2 linked regions of the Caenorhabditis elegans genome follow. The protein of the gene in region 1 purifies or fractionates together with the protein of each later gene. This does not show direct contact. Each region holds a gene or a part of one and is shown on either strand. Other genes may lie near its edges.

Region 1 (11,328 bases):
TGCTGAAATCACCATCGATCCAATGAACGTCAGTCTATTGAAAAGGGCCTTTGATGTGAACAACGACAATAAGTTCGAATTCGTCTACCAATCTCCGGACAACGGGTCTTTCGAAGTTCATTGTGCTCTTCGAGTGCTATATATCACTAAGTCTGGCTACAAATTTAAATACAACAACAAGAGTGCCAGCACCTTCTATAAGCCACCCCCGATCCCAGCCCCTCCGGCGCTTTTTTTGAGGGATTATCAATTCTTCGATCCCCGTCCACGAATGCCAACCGATAGATCCCGCTACAGACCTTTTTAACGATGGAAGCACTTGTCTATTTTTATGTGTTTTCAAAGCTCTTTTTTGAACACTTTCCATTTATTTTTATACAATTTTTACTTTATAAAATTTTTTATAATTTTTTTGATCTTAAGAGCAAACTTTGGGAGCCAGACTTTGGACCAGAAGTAGTTGGTAATAGAGAAGATGAAAATTGATTTTTTTTTTGTTATGAAAAATTAATCAATTGGAGATTTGGTTGCGTTTGTTGCTCAGCTGTATCTTTGTGGATCTATGTGCTAACCACACCGGAACAGGCCCGCGAAATTATCGCGTGAACGTTCTTGCATCAAGGATTCTCATGTGGTGTCACATTGTCCCATTTCGTTGTGATCTACAAAATATGCGGGAATTCAGACGCAAACTTATCAGCTGATTTCGCATGATTAAAAACGTGCTGACGTCACATTTTTTTGGGGAAACAATTCCCGCATTTTCTGTAGATCAAACCGTTATGGAACAACCTGACACCACGTTGATTCTTCTGCTTGGGCCCAGACAGCGAGAGCTCCGAGAAAAAACTAGCTCATAATTCCGGCTGTGTTGAACGTTTTTTTTATTAGTCAACAAACTTATGTCATACTCTCTGTCTCTAGTTCAATCAATCAGTTTCAGTTGTATGTATATTGTTATCAGTTTTGAAATAGTCAGTTCCTATCAGCGCTAAATTCACTTTTTTGAAGTAAATACATCAAACCGTTGAAAATCAGTTTTTTTTCACTTACAGAATATTTTCTTTCTTAATTCTCAATCAACACAATAGTTTCCAATGTCTGCTGCTCTACGCGAAAATCACATCGAAAATGATGCCATGCACTACAATAAAAGGTAAAGTTATAATATATTTTTGTTTTAAAAAAGTTTAGAATCAGCTAGAGACAAGATTAAATTTAAAATTACATTTTCAGCGCCCATCCAAAGTCCTTGTCGGCCATGCCGCTCAACGTGGTCAGCGAGATCTTGGCCCATCTGAACAACATCGAATCGTAAGAATTTTCCGAAAATCTTAAAATGAACCATTTTCAGATTGGTTCTGATGAAAGTGTCTCGAAATTTTCGGCGCGCTGTTCAAAATTCAAAAGTTGAGATTAATAGACTTACTGTACAGCTTTGTACAGGAGGACAATCTTCAAGCATTGTTTATGGCCGCTACGTCATCACTTACAAGCAGAATAATGGCGGTTGTACAGTTTCTTATGTTGATAATAAAGTCGTTGGGGGCAACAAAAAAGAAGTTTTTGTGCCTGAAGAAAACTATCTAGAGCTTTGCAACAAGGATCTCAAGTTGATGATGGAAAATCGAAAGGTTGAATTTTACAGTTTCGGAGTTTCAATTTCTGGAATTGAAACAGAACTCAGCAAAAAGTTCATCGACGGCATTGAGGAGACTATGAAATCTGCAAAGAGTTTGACGTCTAGAACCGTTGCAACATATAACACTTCGTTGTCAGGACTCGCACAACTGGTGGGCATCTTCCCTGCTGAAAAGTTGGAAGTGATAGATTTCAAAGGAGAGGGGAGTGTCGGATTTGAACAGCTGATCAATTCGGATCAATGGAAAAAGGCTAAAAAGTTTGATGGACTTTGGAGTTTGAGTATTCCAATTGAGCACTTCTTGCATTTCGAGTTTTTCAAAGTAGATCTAGCGATATTCACAGAAGATGATGCTGTAAAAATTTGCGATGTGGGTTATCTTATGAAGATGTTTTAAATATCAATTACATTTATCAGATGATCGACACATCCACTCACTTTGGTCGCGCTCAGATCCGCTGTAACTCTATAAACATCAGCGGGATGAAGAGAATCTTCGGAGCCCATGATGAGGAGGACAACATCGTCTACCAAAACCTGAACAACATACCTTTCTATGTAGAATTTTTGCCTGATTTGCTCCGAGTTACAAAGTATGGCTATAGAATTGAAATTGACAACTAGTACAATTTTATATAATTCAAATATTCAATAAACATTATTTAGTTTTTTGGCAAGCAGAACAAAATATATCGAGGATTGTCTTTTGATTGTCGTTTTTCTAACAGAAGAATTAATAATAGTTACGACCCTATTCACACGAGCATTTTGAGGAACTTTTAGCAACCAAACCATGCGTCATTATAACTGACCCACTGATAGCAGTCTGTACACTACGTTGCGTCCGAGTACTTGCTAGTTGTTAATGGTATCAATAAATTCTGCATTCAAATACAGTTTCAACTGAGTCACTTGGTATCACCTTTTATTAATTATTATCAAAATCTTTATGCAATTTTGGGAAGTCGCTTAAAAAGTTTAGCATTCGTTCCATCGGAAATCTCATGGAAATGTGGTGAGAGTTGAAGCTTCTTAGCCTTCTCCACTGTATCAATACGGAGAATGCATACATCGAGAAGCTTCAGAAGTCGATACTTGTCTGCCATCCATAGCATCGCGTCGTTTCCAATTTTAGAATGGGTCAGCAGGTGGGTTTCGGCCAATCTCAACACAGCCGGAATTATAAAGCGATCGGCGAGCTCCAGAAGCTTCTCCACTGTTTTATCTGTAACACAAGTATCTATTTAATTTGTTACGGATTTGGAATTCCAATGCTCACCATTCACCGGAAGAACAGTTTCCGGATGAATTGTGCTCAGAACAAGACCAAACTCCTCAATAGTGACGTCTTTGAGTGGAATCTCATCCAATTCGCCATCTTTGAAATTTGATGAGAAAAGTGCAGAAAAGTAGTCGGAGTGGAAGGAGAGAAACTGAAAAATTGCCTGATTAATTGAAATAATTTGAAAAAAAAACTTACAGCTTTATTGACATGCAACTGCTGCTCTTCAACCAGCAAAATTGCATCATTTTTATCCGAGGGCTGAAACATTTTTTCAAGCAATGATTGCTCGAACGGATCGGGCTCAATTTTGACGTAAGTTGGCGTAAAGGAATATTCAAAATAAAAATAATTCGGCGTACTGGTGTCTCCCCAATCGACACGATACCCTTATGAAGTTAACAATACACTGTATTCCATCTGTCGGTTGCCGCGTTCGTCTTTTAGAAGAATTTTGCCAACTAGGTTGATGATTCCTTCTTTTCCAAGTTCTTCCCAATTGAAAACCCATCGTCTCTGATTTTTGTCGCTTGGAGAGTAATAGAAGGCGCTGAAATAATCGCGTTAAGAATTGCAAAAGTAGATACATTTTTAAATTTGCTATATCTTTTTCAAATTTTGGTTAGAACTTAGGTAGGTCTTGGTTTGACCATTTTTTGCAAGGTTAGCACTATAGCAATCAGAAGTTGGACAGAGAGCAGGCACTGCCAAAACACTCACCATCGTATCCCGGCAACATTGCTCGTATCTACTTCTTGTACATTACCGTTGTATGATTTACTTTTGTGTTGATAAACAATTTCAGCCATAGATTTACTTTTGTGTTGATAAACAATTTCAGCCATATCTATATGAAATGGAAGAAATGAAAAACCGTGGCTGCCATTGTTTCTTATCTAATCGGAATGCTTTTATTGTTGTTACCACGAGCAAGCACGCCTATTTGCGCATAACTTTACTGAAATAAAGGAGACGAGTTTCAAAACATTGACTTTTTACTGTAAATTGCCCATTTTTTGCCACTTTCAAATCGTTTTGATGGGTTAAACCTAGATTTTCTCAATTATGCATATACGAATTAACCGTTTTCAACAATACTGTCCTTTTTTTGCAAAATAACAATTTTTTGAAATTGTACAAAACCACTAATAACTGAAAAAAGGACATTTTTTTAGTGTTATGTGTAAATATGACTTTGTTTTTTACATGTCTTTTGATTTTTCACTCTCTTTAATTTTCTCTGTCTCTAGTCTCAATTACATTTTGAAATCATTCATTGTTATCAGTTTCGAATTATATCGAAACTTCGAAAAACGTTTTATCAGCGTCGAACTCCATTTCATTTAAGCAATTGCTCCTGAACCGGTGAACGTTCTTGGTAACTCCACTCTTAACTTTTTTGTTTCTGTTCGAAATCAATTCCTTTCTGAAAAATTCAAATTTCCAGGTAATAATTCCAAATGTCTGCTGCTCTCCGCCAAAGTGAGCTCACCATCCGAACATGTATTCTCTACGAAGTACTCGACAAAAAACCAATTAAACAGTCCTTTGACAATTTTCGTAGAAAAGTTGGAAATGACGTCATCTCATATTATGAGTTTGAATTTTGGTTCTATCGATTTAACAACGGAAATCATGACTTGCACTATGATCGAAGGTAATTTTTTTAAAATATTTTTTGTAAGAAAATTGATAAAATCTTTCTAAAAAAAAGTAAAACTTACTGAAATTGCAGGTTTATTTTGTCCAAAAATTTTTTTAGATCAATAATAGTACTTTTTCAGCGTCAATCCAGTTCCACGTTTGCTGTCAGGCATGCCTCTTAACGTGATCAACGAAGTTTTAAATCACCTGGACCTTATCGATTTGTGAGAATTTTATCAAAAAGCATTAAATTGTTAATTGTTAAAATTTCAGAATAGCTCTGATGAAAGTGTCTCGGAATTTTCGGCGCGCTGTTCAAAACATGAAAGTTTGTGTGATCGAAAGTCTTGTCGTACAGTTGTTCGAAGAAACAGATTGCACAAAAATCATTTACAACTTGCGCTATAAATTCGAATATCGCCAAAATGATGCAGGCTGTGAGGTTACCTTCTTTGCCAGAAACGGTGACATCTTCGAAAAACAAAAAGTTGTGGCTGGCGGGAACTACATAGAGCTATGCAACAAGGATCTCAAGTTGATGGTGGAAAGTGGAAAGGCTCAAATGGAATTATTTAGGCTTGACAATAAAGGAATTCAGAAAAAATCCCGCAAAAAGTTCATAGCCGGTATCGAAAAAGCTCTCAATTCGGCGAAAAACTTGTCGTCAAAAACTGTGCAAACCCAATTCGTTTCATATCCAGAACTTGCCCAACTGTTGCCCATTTTCCCTGCGGAAAAACTGAAAAAACTTATACTGAATGGATTGGACGGTCGAGAATATGAACAGCTGATTGATCTGGATCAATGGAAAAAGGCGAGAATATTTCAAGGATTTGAGGGGGAGTTAAATGTTCCGATTGAGCACTTCTTGCATTTCGAGTGGCTCGATGTTCATCTCGCAACATTCACAGATGAAGATGCAATGAAGCTTCGTGATGTGAGTTTTCAAAAAAAAAAAATTCAAAAATACAGTTCAATATCAAAAATGCCAAGTAATTTTCAGATGATCGACAGATCAGCTCACTTCGTTTATGCTGAAATTCAATACACACGTATGAACATCGATAGACTAAAGAGAGTCTTCGATGTGCACAGTGTGGAGCACAATCACATTTACGAAACTCCGGACAAAAGATCTTTCTATGTTGCATTTGGTCAATTTATGATCCAAATTACAAAACCCGGATATCAATTCGACTACAACTACAAGCTCTAAATTGAGACTTTTTGTCAAATGTTCAATTTGATTTTTAACAAAATAAAGTTTTGCCAATTTGTAACTCTTTCCTATTAGAATTCAAAACAATATTGTACTGCCAAAACTCCCAAGTAGAGGTTTCAACCGTGTTGAGCGTAACAGCTGACACCTATTTTGTTATCAGTTTCGAAATACTGAGTTCTTATCAGCTTCGAATTTTATTTCAATGAGGCAAACACGTTTTTTTTCAGTTTCAATCAACACATTTTTGTTCTGAATTGTTTTTTTTGTTTCCGCTTCTAGAAATTCCAACTTTCAGGTAAGAGCTAAAAATGTCGGCTGCTCTCGATCCCGTCCCATGTTCTTTGTCAGTCATGCCTCTGCACGTGATCAACGAAATTTTAGACCACATGGAAATTATCGATTTGTGAGAATTTCGCAATGACGCTTCAAACAATTTATTGAAACAATTTCAGAATGGTTCTTATGAAAGTGTCTCGAAACTTTCGAAGTGTTGTTCGAAATATGAAAGTTTTGATCAATTGGCTTACTTTGAATTATTCTGAAAAGTTACACTGTGTATCGATTGTCTATAACATGCGCTATCATATTAGGTATGAGCAAAAGGATGGAGGTTGTGTTGTTGTTTACTATTTTGGTAGTCCCAAACGCAAGGAAATACAGAAATTTGTGGCTGGTGAGGACTATGTAGAGCTATGCAACAAGGATCTCAAGTTGATGATTGAAAATCGAAAGGTTCAATTGGAAACATTCCTACCTGTTTTTGACGGAATTGAAAACGAAGCCCGTAAAAATTTCATTGACGGCATTGAGAAAACTCTCAAATCAGCGGAAAGCTTGTCATTAAAAACTATCCAATCACACCACGTTTCATTCCAAGAACTTGCCCAACTGTTGCCCATTTTCCCTGCGAAAAAATTGGAATATCTTTATTTATACGGGAGGATGGATGGCCCAGGATATGAGCAGCTGATTAACCTGGATCAATGGAAACAAGCTAGAAAATTTCATGGATTTTCTAAGAATTTGATTATTCCAATTGAACACTTTTTCATTTCGAGAGGTTTGATGTTCGTCTCGAAACTTTCACAGAAGGTGATGCAATGAAAATTCGTAATGTGAGTGTGCTAAAACATTGAAAAATCCGTGAAAATATTATCGACTAACTTTCAGCTGATTGATAGATCTTCTCACTTTGTTCATGCTGGGATTCACTTCAGAGATATGAACATCAGAAAGCTGAAAAGAGAATTTGCTGAGGAGCGAAATTTCGTTCACCAAACTCCTGACAAAAGATCTTTCAATGTGGAAATTTGTCGCGATGGGCTTATTATCAATAGAACGGGATAAATATTCGAGTGCACTTTAATTGAGACTTCATGCCTAATACTTCGTTATTTTGTACATCTACGTCCATTTTCCACAATAAAATATTAAAATTAAATAGTTTAAATAGTGGTTTTTGGTCACTATTTGTCAATAATCAATTTCATTCAACAAACTTCCCTGTCTCTTGTGAAATCAAATGTTTGTGCATTGTTATCAGTTTCGAAAAAGAGAATTCTTCTTATCAACAGAGAATTCAATTTTAATGTGGTAAACTCTTCAGAACCGTTAACCGTTCTTTTTCTGTTCAAAATAGTTATTCCAGTTTTAATTAACACATTTTTTTGCTTCTAAAAATTCAAATTTTCAGGTAATAATTCCAAATGTCTGTTGCTCTTTGCCAAAGTGAGCTCACTAACCGTACATGTATTCTCTACGAAGTTCTCGACAAAAAATCAATTAAAGAGTCTTTCGACAATTTTTGTAGGAAAGTTGGAAATGACGTCATGGGATTTGCTGATTTTGAATTCTGGTTCTATCGATTTAAGAACGGAAATCATGACTTGAACTACAATAGAATGTGATTTTTTGAATATTTTTGAGGGGAAATAATACACAAGTACCAAATTCGAATATCGGCAAAATGATATAGGATGTGAGGTTACCTACTTTGCCAAAAACGGCGAGGACTTCGAAAAACAAACATTTGTGCCTGGCGGGAACTACGTAAAGCTATGCAACAAGGATCTTAAGTTGATGGTGGAAAGTGGAAAGGCTCAGATGGAATCATTCCGGATTGACAATAATGGAATTCAGAAAAAATCCCGCACAAAGTTCATTGCCGGTGTTGGGAAATCTCTTAGATCGGCGAAGAACTTGACATCAAAAACTGTGCAAACCCAATTCGTTGCATATCCAGAACTTGCCCAACTGTTGCCCATTTTCCCTGCGGAAAGACTGAAAAAACTTATACTGAATGGATTGGACGGTCAAGAATACAAACAGCTAATTGATTTGGACCAATGGAAACAAGCTAGAATATTTCATGGATATGCTGAGAATTTAATTATTCCAATTGAAAAATTCTTTCACTTTGAGAGGTTTGATGTTCATCTCGCAAGATTCACAGAAGCAGATGCACTGAGGCTTCGTGCGGTGGGTTCTTTACATTAATATTTCTCAAAACTCTTTAGTTGCTTCCAGATGATCGATAGATCTGCTCACTTTGGTTTTGCTGGAATTTGCTGTAATTATATGAACAACAGTGCACTGAAAAGAATTTTCAATGTTGAGCACGAAAACTTTTATCAAACTCCAGACGAAAGAAGTTTCGATGTGCAATGTCGTCCTGGTGAGATCTCCATCACAAAATTTGGCTACACTGTCGAATAAAGAAACATCAAGATTTTTTTTTGAATATTATGTGTTATGCAAACTAATAAATGAACATATGAAGTATACATATGCTGCGTTATAATTAGCTGATTCTGTTCGATGCACCATGTATCAAACTGGTCTTGGCAGATCATATCTAGTCTACGACAACTTTGAGTGGTCGATGCACCATGTCTCAATGTGGTCTTGGCAGCTCATATCTAGTCTAAGACAACTTTAAGTTATTGACGCACCATGTCTCAAGTTGATCAAGTGGATCATCAATAGTCCGAGCATTAAAAAAGAAGGGGACACTGGAATATATTGATCCAGTTTCGCAGCTTATCGATCGGAAAATTTGCGGTTGCACAGCGTTCTGGGCTCTTGTAAATTTCTTGCAATAAGTCCAGCAAGCCAATATCATTATTACTTCTTAGTTTTTCTGTCTTTATTTCACCTACTTTGAAAAATGACGAAGGAATTTGTGATGACTCGAAAAGTGAAGAATATTGCCGCTATGAAGGAAGGAGATTCGCAATCTACAACAAGTGAACAACATTTTGGACTACCTTGGTAAGTTATTATTCTAACAATAATTTCAATTTTTAATGATCAAAATCATTTTCAGGTATTTCAAGGTCTTCTGCAAAGACAAACATTTGCAGTTATGCGTGTATTATGGAGCCCAGCTTATAGCCGAGGAGCAAAGTATCGAAGTTGAATGTGATTTCAAAATGATTACCCCTACTGGCAAGATATTTGTCGAAAAGACAGGAGTTCGAAAGTATGGAGGTGAGACGCAGTACATCGGAATTGGATTTCCAAAGTTTATGTTATGGGAGAAAATGATGAAGGAGTTTGTGGTAGAGGACACGGTGACGGTTGAAGTTTGTCTGAAGATCATAGACACTTGGGGATTTGAGAAGAAGGTGAAAGTCCGCAACTTCGACGAGGCTATGAAGGAGTTTTCGGATGTTGTGTTGGTGGTGAAGGAGACCAGGTTTCATGTGGCAAAACTGGTCAGTTAGCCTTTAAGATTAGCGTCACGACCTGAGCTTGAGCTTATGTTTACATAGGCCAAGGCTGTAGGCTCTGGGCTCTGGGCTCTGGCCTCTAGGCTCTGGGCTCGAAGATCTAGGTTCCGGGCTCTGGGATCTAGGTTCTAAGCTCTAGGCTCTAGGATCTAGGCTCTAGGCTCTACTATCTAGGAGCTAGGGTCTAGGCTCTAGGCTTCAGGATCTATTATCTAGGATCAAGTATCTAGGATCTAAGACCTAGGATCTAGGATCTAAAATCTAGGATCAAGTGTCTTGGATCTACGCTCTAGGCTTCAGGATCTATTATCTAGGATCGATTATCTAGGATCTAGGATCTAGGATCTGGGATCTAGGATCTGGGATCTAGGATCTGGGATCTAGGATCTAGGATCTAGGATCTAGGCTCTAGGATCTCGGATCTAGGATCTAGGATCCAGGATCTAGGATCTATACTCAAGGCTCTAGTCTCTAGGCTCCAGGATCTATTGTCTAGGCTAATTTCCTAATCATAACTATTTCAGTTCCTTGCTGCCCAGTCCGGATACTTCAAGGCTCTGCCAATTGGCAACTTCAAAGAAGGAAACAGCTCCGAAGTCACTCTCAGCTCAATCGACCCCAACGACTTCCAGAACTTTCTGGAAGTTCTCTACGGCCACCAGGAAGCTATCACAGGTTTGACATAGGACACTTATAGGAAAAAATAAAATTTTAAAATTTTCAGACGAGTCGGTGGAGGGTGTGCTTCTCATTGCAGACATGTACAATGCCAAGTTGGTCACCCAAAACTGCGAGAACTTTCTTTTCAGAGGAGCGGGATCTAAGATGATGTTGAAGAAACAGCTGCAGCTGGCCTATCGCTATAACTTGGAGAACTTGAAGAGATCTTGCTATTCCAATCTGGAAATTTGATCTATGATCTACATATGTACCTGTAAAATTCTGTGCAGTACAACCTCTAATAAAACATTTTTATTAATTTCCGTACAAATCTAGCAGCATTTCCGGCGACTTTTCCAATAATCACAATGTGCCTTTAGAGTCTTCAAATTATGATGCTTCGCCAGCTTCTCCTTCTGCTCCAGCGTTTTCTTGGAGTACTTTATTACATACTCTTCACACCGCTTCACAATTCCCGCGGCTTCATAGCTTTGCGCAATTTTCAGAATTCCATGGACAGTGTCGTCTGAAAATGTTCAATTTTGTTAAGAATCTGTAGAACCTTGAACGTTACCATTAATTGAGGGGTCTCCGTAGCAGGCTTCCAGGAAGTTCTGGAAGTGATCGGCACTCGAGTCGGGGAGCTTGATCTCGGTGCTCGGTGCTGCGGTGAAGTTGATCTTGCTGATTATGTTCTTGAATCTGGCGGAGTTGGAGATGAGGATCTGGAACTGAGAAACTTGAAGATCTTAGAGGGTCTAAGAGCTTGTATAGATCTGTGAGCTACGAGCTTGGCTACAGGCACCTATGGATGCTCAGGCTCTTTGCTGAGTCGTGTTGAGACCCAGAACTACGTATTCGGTATAGAATGTTAACCTCCAGCTACGGTGCCTATCAAAGATAAAGGATCTTCGGTTAGTGATCGCAGGGTCCTAGGTAGAAATCAAGAAAAATTGAAGTTCTGAGGATCCGTATAGAACTGGGAGCTAGGATTAACTCAGGTAAACCTCAGGTAACATAGTTCCTAAGAACATCTCCAGATGTTCAGTTCAACCCCTTAGGATCCCTACCTCCTTCAACACAAAAAACCTCTGCCCGGCAACAATCAGCATCACATCCCACGAATTCCCGGTTGCATCGAAATTCC
Region 2 (11,624 bases), on another chromosome or scaffold:
CTTTTATTGCCTATTTTTTCGCCAAACATTCCCGCATCAGTTTGCAATTACTTGTTGTTGTACAGTTCTTAATAATTGCATTATAAATTTAATAACTCTTTAATAATATAAGAACCCGCATAATAAAAATTCGTAATAAACATTTCTTTCCATATATTATACTGCAATTCACAAATCCATTTACAACGCATTGAACCCCACTTAAAAAGGGTGAAGGTTACAAGTACACCGTGCCCTAATTACTCACGTAATGTAGGTAAATTGTGGTTTACTGCTTGATGAGACAGTTTCACATGAAACATGGAACACACAGGCACCGAAAATGAAGAGAAGAGGGGGAGCTTGAAGATTAATGGGCGGGGTTCAGGTTATGAAGGTCGAGGAAGAGAAAGGAGAAGGCGTCCATCGCAACAGCCAGCAACTGCAGCAGTCACTTCTGTTCACTACATATACGGTCAATATTCTAGTAGTGACCGGTGTCTTTCTAAAAATAATGTGGTCTCGAAATGTTGCACTGGTCTTCTGTCTCCTTGGTGGAGTTACCGCTATTGGAGAAAATGCGGTAAGTATCCCTTAAAACAACAAACTAGTCGAATTTTTCGGATTCAAATTCAATTTAATTAAATAAGATACAGAACATTGGAAATTATCTTTCTTTTGTTAAATGACATTTGTAATTTATGATATTTAGTAACTTACGTCAAGTTTTGAATATGTGTCAGCATAATATTAAAAATTGTAATTCAGATGGATTTCCAAGCCATTACTGGTATTCTTGGAGGAATTGGAAAAATGCTCGAAAGCAAAATTGACACCATCAATGTCCCTGCGGAGATGGTTATGGGAAAATGGTTCCAGATGTACAAGGCTGCTATGAACTTTGATGTTGTCCGCACCACAATGTTCTGCCCAGTTGCTTATTGTAAGTTTATCTTTCTAAAGTCTCAAAAACATGTTTTTGAACCTGTTCGAATCATAAACTAAGCTCAAATAACAAGTAACTTGCAGTCTCTCCTAATCCGATAATGGGTGAAGAAGGATTCTCGATGCAAGAAGCTTACAGAGTGGTTTCAAAAACTGGACCAATTGAGACTTACAAAAGAGACATGAACAAAGTTGGACCAGGACAATACTGGATGTACACTGAAGAGTACTTCTACCCAAGACAATGTGAGCGAAAAACATTTAATTTTGACTAAACTTGCTTTTCAGTTTACATTATCGGAGCTGGACCATCTTTCAATAATGGCACCAGAAATTCTACCGAGCCACTCCAATACTTGATTGCTTCTGATGCTAACCGACTTTCCCTCATGGTTTATGCTAGAGATCCTCTTGTATTTTTCCAGGTCAGTTGCGAAACATCAAGCGTTGCGGCGCGTGTTTTTTGTTTTTACTCTCCTGTAGGGCGCACTAGTGAGATTGATGAACACAGTGATTGACAGGAGGCGAGAATTGGGTTAGCTTATCAACATCGGTTGACCTTATTTTGAATTATTTCTCCGATTACAATCCGTGTCTATTGGATTATGGAATTTGGGATTCAGAAATCGGGAAAGAAAAAAAGCGAAAGTGACAATTGTCTGACATATTTGCAAACATAACATCATTTACAGAAGTACAACAAGGAGGTTGTTGAGTTCATGAATGGACACGGATTTGGAGGAAATGTCTTCTGGAACAGCCCAAAGCCAATTTACCAAGGACCAGACTGCGAATGGCCTTCTGAAAAGGAGGTCTTTGCCAGAAGGTAATGTAATTTACTCATGTAACAGACAGAAAATATAGTTTATTTTCAGAGTTTTGAAAAACCAAGAAATGAACGAGCGCAACAAGAATGGAACTTCAGACCCAATTCTTTCCGGAATGCCACTTGCCGACATGATCCGCGACCCAAAGCGTACTTTGGAAAGACTAGTTGGAACAAAAGCTTTGCAACAAGCCACCGCCGGAATCACAGCCGGTCCACCAGCCAGCCGTAGCGAGTGACCTCATTCTACCATTTTTCGCCATTTTTCCAGTACTTCTACCATTTTCTCTTAATAATCTCTTTCCAATTTCTTCACGCACTAATTATCAATCTGTGATCCTTTAATTATTGTCTACATGTATTAATAATAATATTAATAATGCAATTAATAAGACACGGTTCCGTGTTCCTTCCGTTGTATCTCATTGTCTTTTGAAAAAAGAAAAGTTAATTCAATAAATTTGTAAGTTCATTTTGAATCAGTGTTTTACAGTAGACTTACAGTAGTTTTGCAGTCGCTTACAGTACAATAGTATTGATATTGAAGGTTGTACAACGTTTACTTTCAGTTTATCCTCCTTTCCGTTTTACCGATTTTCGGCGTCATCCATTTGACAGTTTCACTCCCGAACTTCAAACTTCCGATAATAAGATTTTCGGGCCTGTGTACCGTATCAAAAGCAATTCGAAAATGTATGACTGTCTTTAGAGAAACATACACTTGCTGCAACTAGCAAGCGAAACGAGGACACGATTTGAGATTTGAGAAGATAAACTCGAAGAGGCGAGAGAAGAAAGAGAACACAGAGAGGAAAGAAATCGGCGAAGGAGGTTGGACAAAAGAGAAGCGAAAACACTGGACGGATGACCCCGGTTCATTCGACACACCTTCTACAACATCCACACTTTTATTCATTTCATCCATCGAGAATGCTCTCGATAGGCATCCTCTCTATTTGTCTTGTTGGCCTTGCCGGCGCCCAACTTGACGCTTTTGCTCTTCCATCAGCACAACGTTATGCTCCTAAACCAACAGTGCCACCAGAGTTTTCCAATTACTTTGAACTTGATGGGCATGCTCGCGAATTGGTGGACTCTCTGCTAGGACCCCGCCCAGGAGGCCTTTTCCCGGAAAAGACGTTCGAGATTGGAGCCCCACAAGGTCCAGTTCAAAATGGAAATCAGCCAACACACGTTGTTTCAAGCCTAGAGAAGACACTTGAGTCATTCTTCACTGCTCCAGAGCTTCCCGCTGGCCAAGCACTTCCACCAGGATTTGGGTCTGGGTTTTCCGTTGCAAACAACAATAAGGCATTGACTTCTTTCGGAGACATTCGTCGTTCGCCATCAGGCAAAAAGGAAAACCAGGAGGTAGAAGGATCCGGTGCTGTCGAAAACTCAATTGCAGGAATTCCAAATGTACGTAAATCATCTTTCTGTCAGTCCGTTTTAAAATTTGTATTTTAGGTATTCTTGAAGTTGGCAAAACAACCAACTGCTCTAGTTGACGCATTCAACAAGGCAGTTTCGGTTCCAAGAGACTCCAGCGGAAACCCAGTGTTTGAGACAGCACCAGTTGTCCCAGAAGGTGGATTCCTTCCAACTTCAGAAGTTCGTCGCTCTCCATCTTCAGTATCTGAAGTCTCGCACTCAATTGATTCTAAATCAGATGAACTTAATACAGAAGAGGTAAATTTTTTTCGCAGCGTTCTCGAACATTTATTTTTATCTTTTAGTATGGAGGTCTTTCCGAAGACTCAAACTCGTCTGGAGGTGGATTGATTGGAACTATTTTCAATCTTATCAAGCTCGGAGGAAAGAAAGCTAAGGAGAACGCCAAAAATGGGAACGGAACCGCTCCAGTAAGATTTCATATTCTTTTTAACCATCTTAATCGAGTTAATTTAGGAAAAGAACACTATCGGAAAGGCTGTATCCAACCTCCTTTCGGGAGAAAACAGTCCATTCCCAAAACCTGGTAGCAACATTCTGACTGATATGCTTTTCAAGACTCTTTCCAGTGGTTCACTCGAGTCCAATGGAACTGAAATTGAGAAGAGTGAAAATGGCTCAATTGTCCTTACCCCAGCTCAATCTGCCGCCATCAGCAGCAATCTTGAAATGATTCAAGATCTTATCATCAAGCCAAACTCTCCACTATGCACACAAAAACCAATCCCGGTTGAATTTGAACTCGATCCTCTTATGGGACAATGGTACCAAGTTATCTACTCTCCACCAGTATCTACTGGCCCTTGCAGCATGGTTTCTTACAAAAAACTTAGTGATAATGGAGAAGGTAACGTGCATTAATAGATTTTAATCAGTTTTAACTAGTTGTTTTTCAGCCACCGGATCAATCGTAGATGTCTATGAGTACACAACTGATGGAACTCCATATGGAAAGCCAATAATCTCTTCTGGATATGCCTTGGTGAAAGGAAAGGGAGAACTCATCTTCAGAACAAATTCCAACAAAGAAGATGTGACTGTGCACATTCTTAGCGTTGGACCATTGAATCATCAGGGAGAATATGAATATGTTGTCATGTCCACCAACTGCAACTATCCAGTCTATGTATTTGCAAGAGATACTAGCATTTTCAAGCAGGTATGAAAATTAATTAACAGTGATTATGTTGTGATAATTCAACTGATATTATTTTAGAAATACGAACCAGTTGTCAATGAGTTCCTGGACAAGAGCGGAATTGTGAATGGAATCTCTCGCCTGCTTAATGTTGTTGCTCCAGTCGACAACACTATGTGCATCTTCCCACCACATCTTTTCTACAACCAAGGAAGATAGTTTACTCGCCACCATCTTAATAATTTCTAATAACTCCTAATAATTTTTAATATGGTTTTTTTCCATCCATCATCCCGTTCTCATTGCCCTTTCTTCTCTTTCAACCCTCGGGTGATTACCTCATCTTTTTAAGTCTTAGTTTACAATCCAAAGCATTTTTCTTTAATTTTCATTTAGAAACTACACAAAAAATCAGGCCGTGGGCTCGTGCATTCCTTGTTGTATATAGAATTTCGAATAATTTATTCCTTTTTATAATTTCGGTTATATTTTTTCTACGTCTTTCACACTTGTCCTAATAATGTTGATAATATGCAGTTAATAAATTTTTTAAACTATCTATTTTTAACATTTCTTTAGTAATGAAGAAAGAAGTACAATTATTAAACGGATGCGCAATTCTTAACAAAAATGGCATCGTCGAAAAATCAGAGTTGATGTTTCTATAATTGATCATAAAGGATTAAATACAATTAATGAATATTCTCAATTTCTCGGCCCAGATCATTCTTACAACCATGTTATAAAATTATTCAGAAAAGTCATTTTTTAGAACTTAAAACTTTGGTTTACGAAAAATGCCGATTTTGACTTATTGAGAAAGGGGTTTCTTCTTATTTTCTTGTATCAATTTACTCATTTTTCAATTAGGTCAGGTCAAACTCTGGAACAGTGTTTGCCTGTCACATTTATCTTCATCATTCCTATTTCTGAGAGTATCTCTCTATCTCTATCAGAGTAATTCAATCCAGAGGATTAGAAAGGGGTACGGGGAAAAGCGAATATCGGTCAAGTGAAAGTGGTGACTGTCGCAATGATTCGCGGATACAGTCCAGTGAATCTTGCATGAAGAGACGCAAAAGAAGAAGCGAAAATTGGCACGTAACGAGAGTGAAAGCCTATCGACGCTGGACATTTTGAGGTCAACATATATCTCACCCGGACGATACAGCCCATTGAGAAAGCCCACACTTGGAAGTTCTAACGATGCAACGGCTGACGGCGGTTGTTTTCGCCTGCGTAATTGGAGGAGTTTTCCTCGCTGCACCAGATGCACCAACATTCGATAGCCTGCCCGCTGGAATCGACCCAACTGCAAAGGTAAACATTTTGTATTTTTTTCAGTTATTTGAGAGTGCTCAATTTCAGATTGGACCACCAGGAACTGACGACAAAGCTCTTGTGAAAGTTGGAGAGGTGGCTGAATCAATTTTGGATAAACTTGGATTCAGTACCAGAGATGAAAAGGATATTCGTCGTGCCCCAGTGCCAAGTTCTTTCTTTGGAGTGAGTATCTATGTAAATCTGCTGAATGAAATATTCTTCTCGTTTCTGAAATTAAAAAAAAATCTGACGTTTAGAGTGACGATGTCAACCAAGTTATTGAAGAGGCTAATGCTAATCGTGTTGACCTTCAAGGAATCACCTCTGGACAAATCCCAGGACTTGCTCCAATCCCAGTACCAGGATTCCCAGGACCACAGGACGCACCAGTTATTCCAGGAGTCAACACTATTCCAGGACTTAGCAATTTTAACTACCTTGTCGGACAACTTTTCCCACAAATGATTCCACCAGCAAACACTCTTCTAGGATCTTCAATCAGCAGAATTCTTCCAAAGGATACTGCAAAAAATATCGCAAAGGATGTGTTCAGAGCTGTTCACCCAACTGCTGAAAATGTAGATACCGCTAGAATGATGGGAAGATGGTTCCAAGTTATCAACTCTCCACATGTCATCCGTGAGGCCTGCACCGTGTCACACTGTAAGTAGCAGATTATATATGTCTTAACTAAAACACTTTTTTTAAACCATCTTGCCAATGTTCAATTTTCAGTCGGAGCCCTTACGAACAACACATACTCTGCTTCCTTCACCATCCTCAAGTTCTACAGAGAAGGAAATCCAAATGGATCCCCAAGATATGCTCTCGGATACGGATTCAAATCTGGAGAAACTGGACAATTCGTTCTTCACAACTCCAATTCTGCTGATGCCGAGCCTTGTAAGTTATAAACTAACTACATAATTGATAGTTGTGAAATATGCTCAGTCTGGGTTATCAAGATGGGACCACTCAATGAGTACAAGCAATACGACTACGCCATCGTTTCTACCTGGGTCAGATATCCAGTCTTTGTCATTGCTCGTGACCCAGAACGCTTCAGAAAGCTGCACATGAAGAATGTCCTCGAATTCTTGCAACAGAACAGTGAGTTAACATGGTAGAGCTTTTTTATTTAATAATTTTAATATTTAGACTACATCAACGTCATGACCAAGGCCTTCAACATGATCTCTCCAGTTGACTATGAAGCCTGTCAGTACACTCCAACTTTCTCTGGAACCGGAAAGTAATTGCTTGCAAGCGCCGTACGACTGTCATCTCGCTGTCGGGTATCCTCCATCAATTAATTGTTTCTCCCCAAACATTCCATTCTGTGTGTAGACAGATTTTGTAATAATAATAATTATAATAATGAAACTAATAACAACAAGAAGTTAGTTATAATAACTTGTAATTTTTCCCTTTCCTTGTGCCTCATTAATAACGGATTCTATGAAATCCTGATCCTCAGTTTGACAATAATAAACTATTTGATATTAAACCGTTGATCCTCAGCAAGTGTATATATTTTAAAATTAAATAAACAGCTTCTTTTTAGTTACATAGAAACTGTAAACTAAACACTCCGAAGGCAGTTTAAAAAAGGTAAATGAAGTTTACAAAAATGCCAACATAGTAGTGGAGCGGGGCCATCGGAAACCGATTAATATTTCAGATGTGAAATAGCTAGACAATTATTCAGAATGATCTACCGTTTTGAGTAACATAATCTGTTAAAATTTAAACAAGTCAACAATTGCTCATTATTTTTCTAATTTCATCATTCCTACAAACTAAAATTATTTACAGAAACTGCTCCCTACTCTGGAAGTTTGAACCTTAAATAATAAAACTTCAGGGATTTGAATTTGTGTTCCGCAATTAACTGTTTAAGCTTTTGGATTACAAATGTCTTGGTTTTATACCTGAGGTTTGAACAAACAGTTTTCAAGATTCACAACATCCATTTAAACTTTATCACCGACTCACAGAAGATGCTTCCTACGTGCCAGTTATTTTGAGAGATAAAGAGGAAAGCCTCTTTGGAAAAGTGCAAGCAACATTTTTCAAATATCCAGGTCATCTTTCCCAAATCTTGTCGACCAAAGGCGACTGTGTTGCGCATTGCGCTTCTCAGTGGATTATGTCAGATTCGATATCAAAAGTTTTTCTTGGACAATTCTCTCATTTCGCTTTCGTAACAAAATTGGGTCATGGTCGGTTGTGTTTTATCTCGAATTTCCCGGATAGCTGATTGTAGAAATCGGATAAAAAGAATGAATTAAAACAGGGAAGTTAATTTGAAAAATTCGAGGAGAAAGGCAGCCGGAAAATTTTATTTTGCGTGTCAGTTGAGAGAAAAGTGTTTATTATAAGCGTGTTTAGTTCAGGACCTGATACTTACAAACATGGTAAAAAACGAAACTGGGCAAATTAGGAAAAATCGAGTATTTTGCCATTGAAAACGACAAAAAATGTTCAACAGTGCCTGAATAAACCATGAAAGTATTGCCCAAGATAATTTTAAGCAGGTATTTAATATTAGTAGTATTTAATATTAGTAGGTAATCAGGTAACAAGTATAGGCAGGTATGCTTAAGGTTCATTTTTATTTTGCTGAAGATATTTTGCTTTAGCTACTTTCAGACATTTCCCCGTATATTTGCAATATGTAGAAGACTGTAGTCGGAGAAATGTATCAAATAAGTATCTTCAAGTAAAAACGTTCTAGAGAATTGCCTGCAAATTTGAATGTTTAAAAATTGACAATTTTTTCCACAGAAAATATATAAACAATTGCATAACTTTTTTAAACTTTTTAATTATAAAATTTAAATCAACTCTACAAATTTCCTCTCAATACTCATTGATTTTCTATTTTAAAGGTTTATGTTCATGTTCAACAATTATATTCACGCGTTTAAATTTTATTCCTAGATTGCTCAATTCATTATTCATTGTCCTTCTGTTCAGGCGCATGTTTTCCGAAAGATCAGCATTTGGGCACGCTCCAGGACAAGCATCAAAATGACAAAATTGAGTTTTAGCTCTCTGAATGTATGTCTCAAATCCGAATCACAGAACTATTCTTGGTCACGTTTAGTGCACATTGTGTTGCATCTCACTGGTCAGAATAAGGGGTACTCATTGCACAAGCTCAAGAAGACGACGAGAAGCAAGATGATGAGTTGCGGCAGACGACAAGACACATAGATCGATAGGCGCCGGTGATGGAAGTGGAGAGCAATGGAGCACGCCTCTCGCCCCCGGGCTTCATTTGAAACCTCTTCTTCTTTTTTTCCCTTCTTTTGCTACTTGGGGCCTTTTAGAGAAAAAAAAGGAGTTGAAGAAGAAGGAAAAGTCGCCGTTTTGCTGTTGTGCTTGCTTGTTTTTCCTATTTCTCCTCCTTTTTCGTTTTCTTCCAAGTGGTGTGCACCAGTTGAACGCTAGCTGCAATGGAGGAAGAACCAGTGCGTCCCATTGACTACTGGGTTTGTAAGTGACACTTAAGTTGGGAATGTGCAGAGAAATTGCAATGATTTTAGGTCGCGCAACAGATAGATTCATCGGTGACGAGGAAAGAATTAAAGCATTGGACTTCATAATTGAAAGCATTTATAAACAAGTAAGTTTGAAATTTGTGAGAATCAAGGAAAACAATACAACTGGACAAAGATATTTTGAGAAACAATACTTTGAAAATGCATGTCCTTTGTTTTCGTTTATTTTCAATTTGATTAGATGTAATTTGCCTTTATTTTTTAGTTAAACATATAACTCAATTTCATCAGTTTGCTTCCGTTTATTGATACTTGGGTAGTGCTCAAAATAATTAAATTCAAATTAATGAATTGAAATCAAAACGTAAGTTCTTTTCTAATTTCTAGCATTAGAAGTAATTTCTGAACCTAAAGATTGAAAAAAATTGAAATTTTATTAAAATTAATATTCCCGTGTTTAAATATCACAAAGATCTACAACGTACAAGTTTTCAGCCTGCAAGTGCACTGCTCGCAGTGGATCTTTTTTCACACAAGCTTTCAAGTCCTTCACAAGAAGAAGCGATGCTTACAATCAGAGTGAGGATTCGTTTACTTCAAAATCATGTTCAAAGATTTTCTATTCAAAAAACCATATTAGACAATTATTTTTTAGTTTAAAATAATGTTTTTCAGGCTCTTGATTATTTAGTACGCAATGGAGGCGAAAAGGTTCATGAGCGCTGTGGTCGTTACAAATTCCTAAATGAGCTTGTCCGATTGATAGCTCCCAAATACAATGGGAAATTGACAAGCGACGCACTGAAAACGGAAATCATAAAGCTGCTGTTCATCTGGCAATTGTCAATCAAGCACATTCCAAAATACAAGCAAGTGTACGAGTCATTAAAATTGAGCAAGATAATCACTGACGATCCGCATGTTAGAGAAACTGAAGTTCCTGTTTTCGCAGGTGATTTTCTCTTCACTTTATAATAATAATAAGTAATATTCACGTCTATTTTCAGTTCCACCTGTCAGGTCATCGGTGTTTGACAATGAAGAGCAAGCCGTTCTTTTGAAAGCTTTATTATCAAGTAATCGCCCAGAAGACTTGGAAACTGCCAATAATCTAATCAAAACTCTTGTAGAAACTGTAAGTTTTTTTTTCAAAAAGTCAATGTTTCAGTCATTGAACATTGAATTATAGTCAAGTAGTCGAAACATCAACTTTGAAATCAACTCTAATCAAATTTTCACGCCTGACGTTAGTGCATGTAAATTCACATTAGACGTAATCCACCCACGAGTACATTGCAGGAAGAGCACAAGCTTGTCAAGATTCATGAACGCCGGAAAAAGTTAGATCATGCTATCAACCTGTGCAATCAAGTTGAACATCTACGGCTCGACAAGGCGGCGGAAACAATCGGACTCGGAAATTATTCGCCAGATAATGAACTTACCCTTCAGGTTTTGATTAGTATAAACACTTTTAATTATTAAAAATTTCGGTTCAGAGGGTAACGAATGAACTGATTCAACTTCAAGAATTGTTTTATGGATATGTCAATGAACTAGCAGAAAACAATGATCCTTGCCTAGAAGAAGTTTTAAATATTAACGACCAAATCAATAGAGTTCTGCCCGAAAATGAAACTCCGAAATGTGGAAATAGAGCCCCAATTTCGGCAAGAACTCAGTGTAAGTCCAATTCGATTATTTTCAATTGGTGGGCTGTTTCTTTGACTTCTTCATTATTAGTTTGTGTTAGCATTTAGTTTCTATAATAAATTAATAAAAACCACTGAACAAAAAAATATTCTTATTTTAATTGTTTATTCATTAAATTGAACTGCAACTAAAAAGATCGCATCATTTCAATTCTATTAATAATGATTATTTAAGTGGATCCAGAGAACCAAGAATTGCTTGTTTTCAACACACCAACAAGCGAAGTGCCTCCTAAGAACGGATTTTGTGACCCCCGTGATTTGGTTAGTAGTTTTAATACTCAAACTTTCCGAAAACCAATGATAATTCAGGAAGGAAGTTTGCTAAACAATATGATAGAGTCGGAGTTCGTCGAAGAACCAAAGGTTGGTTGGAATTATTTTTTCAAAGTTTACGGACAAAAAAATTTTCTAGATCGTTCCCGTTCAACAAATGACGCCCGTTTTGAACCGGAACAGCTCAGCAAGTCCTCGTGCTAGTGGAGACTCTTCTATATTTGAAACTGATTTTCTGGCTGGGAAACGGCTCCCAGAGTAAGAATTATTCATTTGAATAATGTAGTTCAACGATTTTCAGACCTCTCAAACCACCGACATTGAATGAGTTGAAACCAAATACAACAACAATTACGCTAGAAGCTTTAGAAGTTCTGGTACCACCAATGTCCCCAGAACCAACAAGTCTGTCCCCAAAAGCTATCCCTGAGAAAGTTGCACTGAACCCAAGTTCAATAATAATGAGT

What was found.
Region 2: the proteins of fbxa-163 (region 1) and lpr-4 fractionate together in Caenorhabditis elegans (co-fractionation; one large-scale study listed by BioGRID). This does not show direct contact.

Annotation. Positions count from the first base shown.
Region 1 is NC_003280.10:1,603,772-1,615,099, reverse strand, and holds fbxa-163 (F-box domain-containing protein), read left to right. Parts: upstream 1-4,369; 5' UTR 4,370-4,384; coding exon 4,385-4,581; intron 4,582-4,708; coding exon 4,709-4,792; intron 4,793-4,841; coding exon 4,842-5,505; intron 5,506-5,571; coding exon 5,572-5,784; 3' UTR 5,785-5,848; downstream 5,849-11,328. Other genes in the region: fbxa-165 (F-box domain-containing protein), read left to right, coding at 1-307; fbxa-164 (F-box domain-containing protein), read left to right, coding at 1,098-1,156, 1,237-1,314, 1,355-2,012, 2,060-2,266; bath-33 (BTB domain-containing protein), read left to right, coding at 8,957-9,060, 9,116-9,506, 10,046-10,196, 10,246-10,433; bath-47 (BTB and MATH domain-containing protein 47), read right to left, coding at 10,514-10,707, 10,756-10,906, 11,252-11,328.
Region 2 is NC_003284.9:11,059,642-11,071,265, forward strand, and holds lpr-4 (Lipocalin domain-containing protein), read left to right. Parts: upstream 1-5,484; 5' UTR 5,485-5,546; coding exon 5,547-5,660; intron 5,661-5,708; coding exon 5,709-5,846; intron 5,847-5,920; coding exon 5,921-6,326; intron 6,327-6,398; coding exon 6,399-6,566; intron 6,567-6,614; coding exon 6,615-6,773; intron 6,774-6,821; coding exon 6,822-6,919; 3' UTR 6,920-7,170; downstream 7,171-11,624. Other genes in the region: lpr-6 (LiPocalin-Related protein), read left to right, coding at 353-562, 748-922, 1,009-1,170, 1,213-1,349, 1,617-1,750, 1,800-1,989; lpr-5 (Lipocalin domain-containing protein), read left to right, coding at 2,681-3,169, 3,218-3,439, 3,487-3,612, 3,659-4,049, 4,099-4,361, 4,419-4,559; apt-9 (ADP-ribosylation factor-binding protein GGA1), read left to right, coding at 9,125-9,164, 9,215-9,294, 9,665-9,748, 9,845-10,121, 10,177-10,304, 10,469-10,621, 10,669-10,852, 11,057-11,145 and 3 more.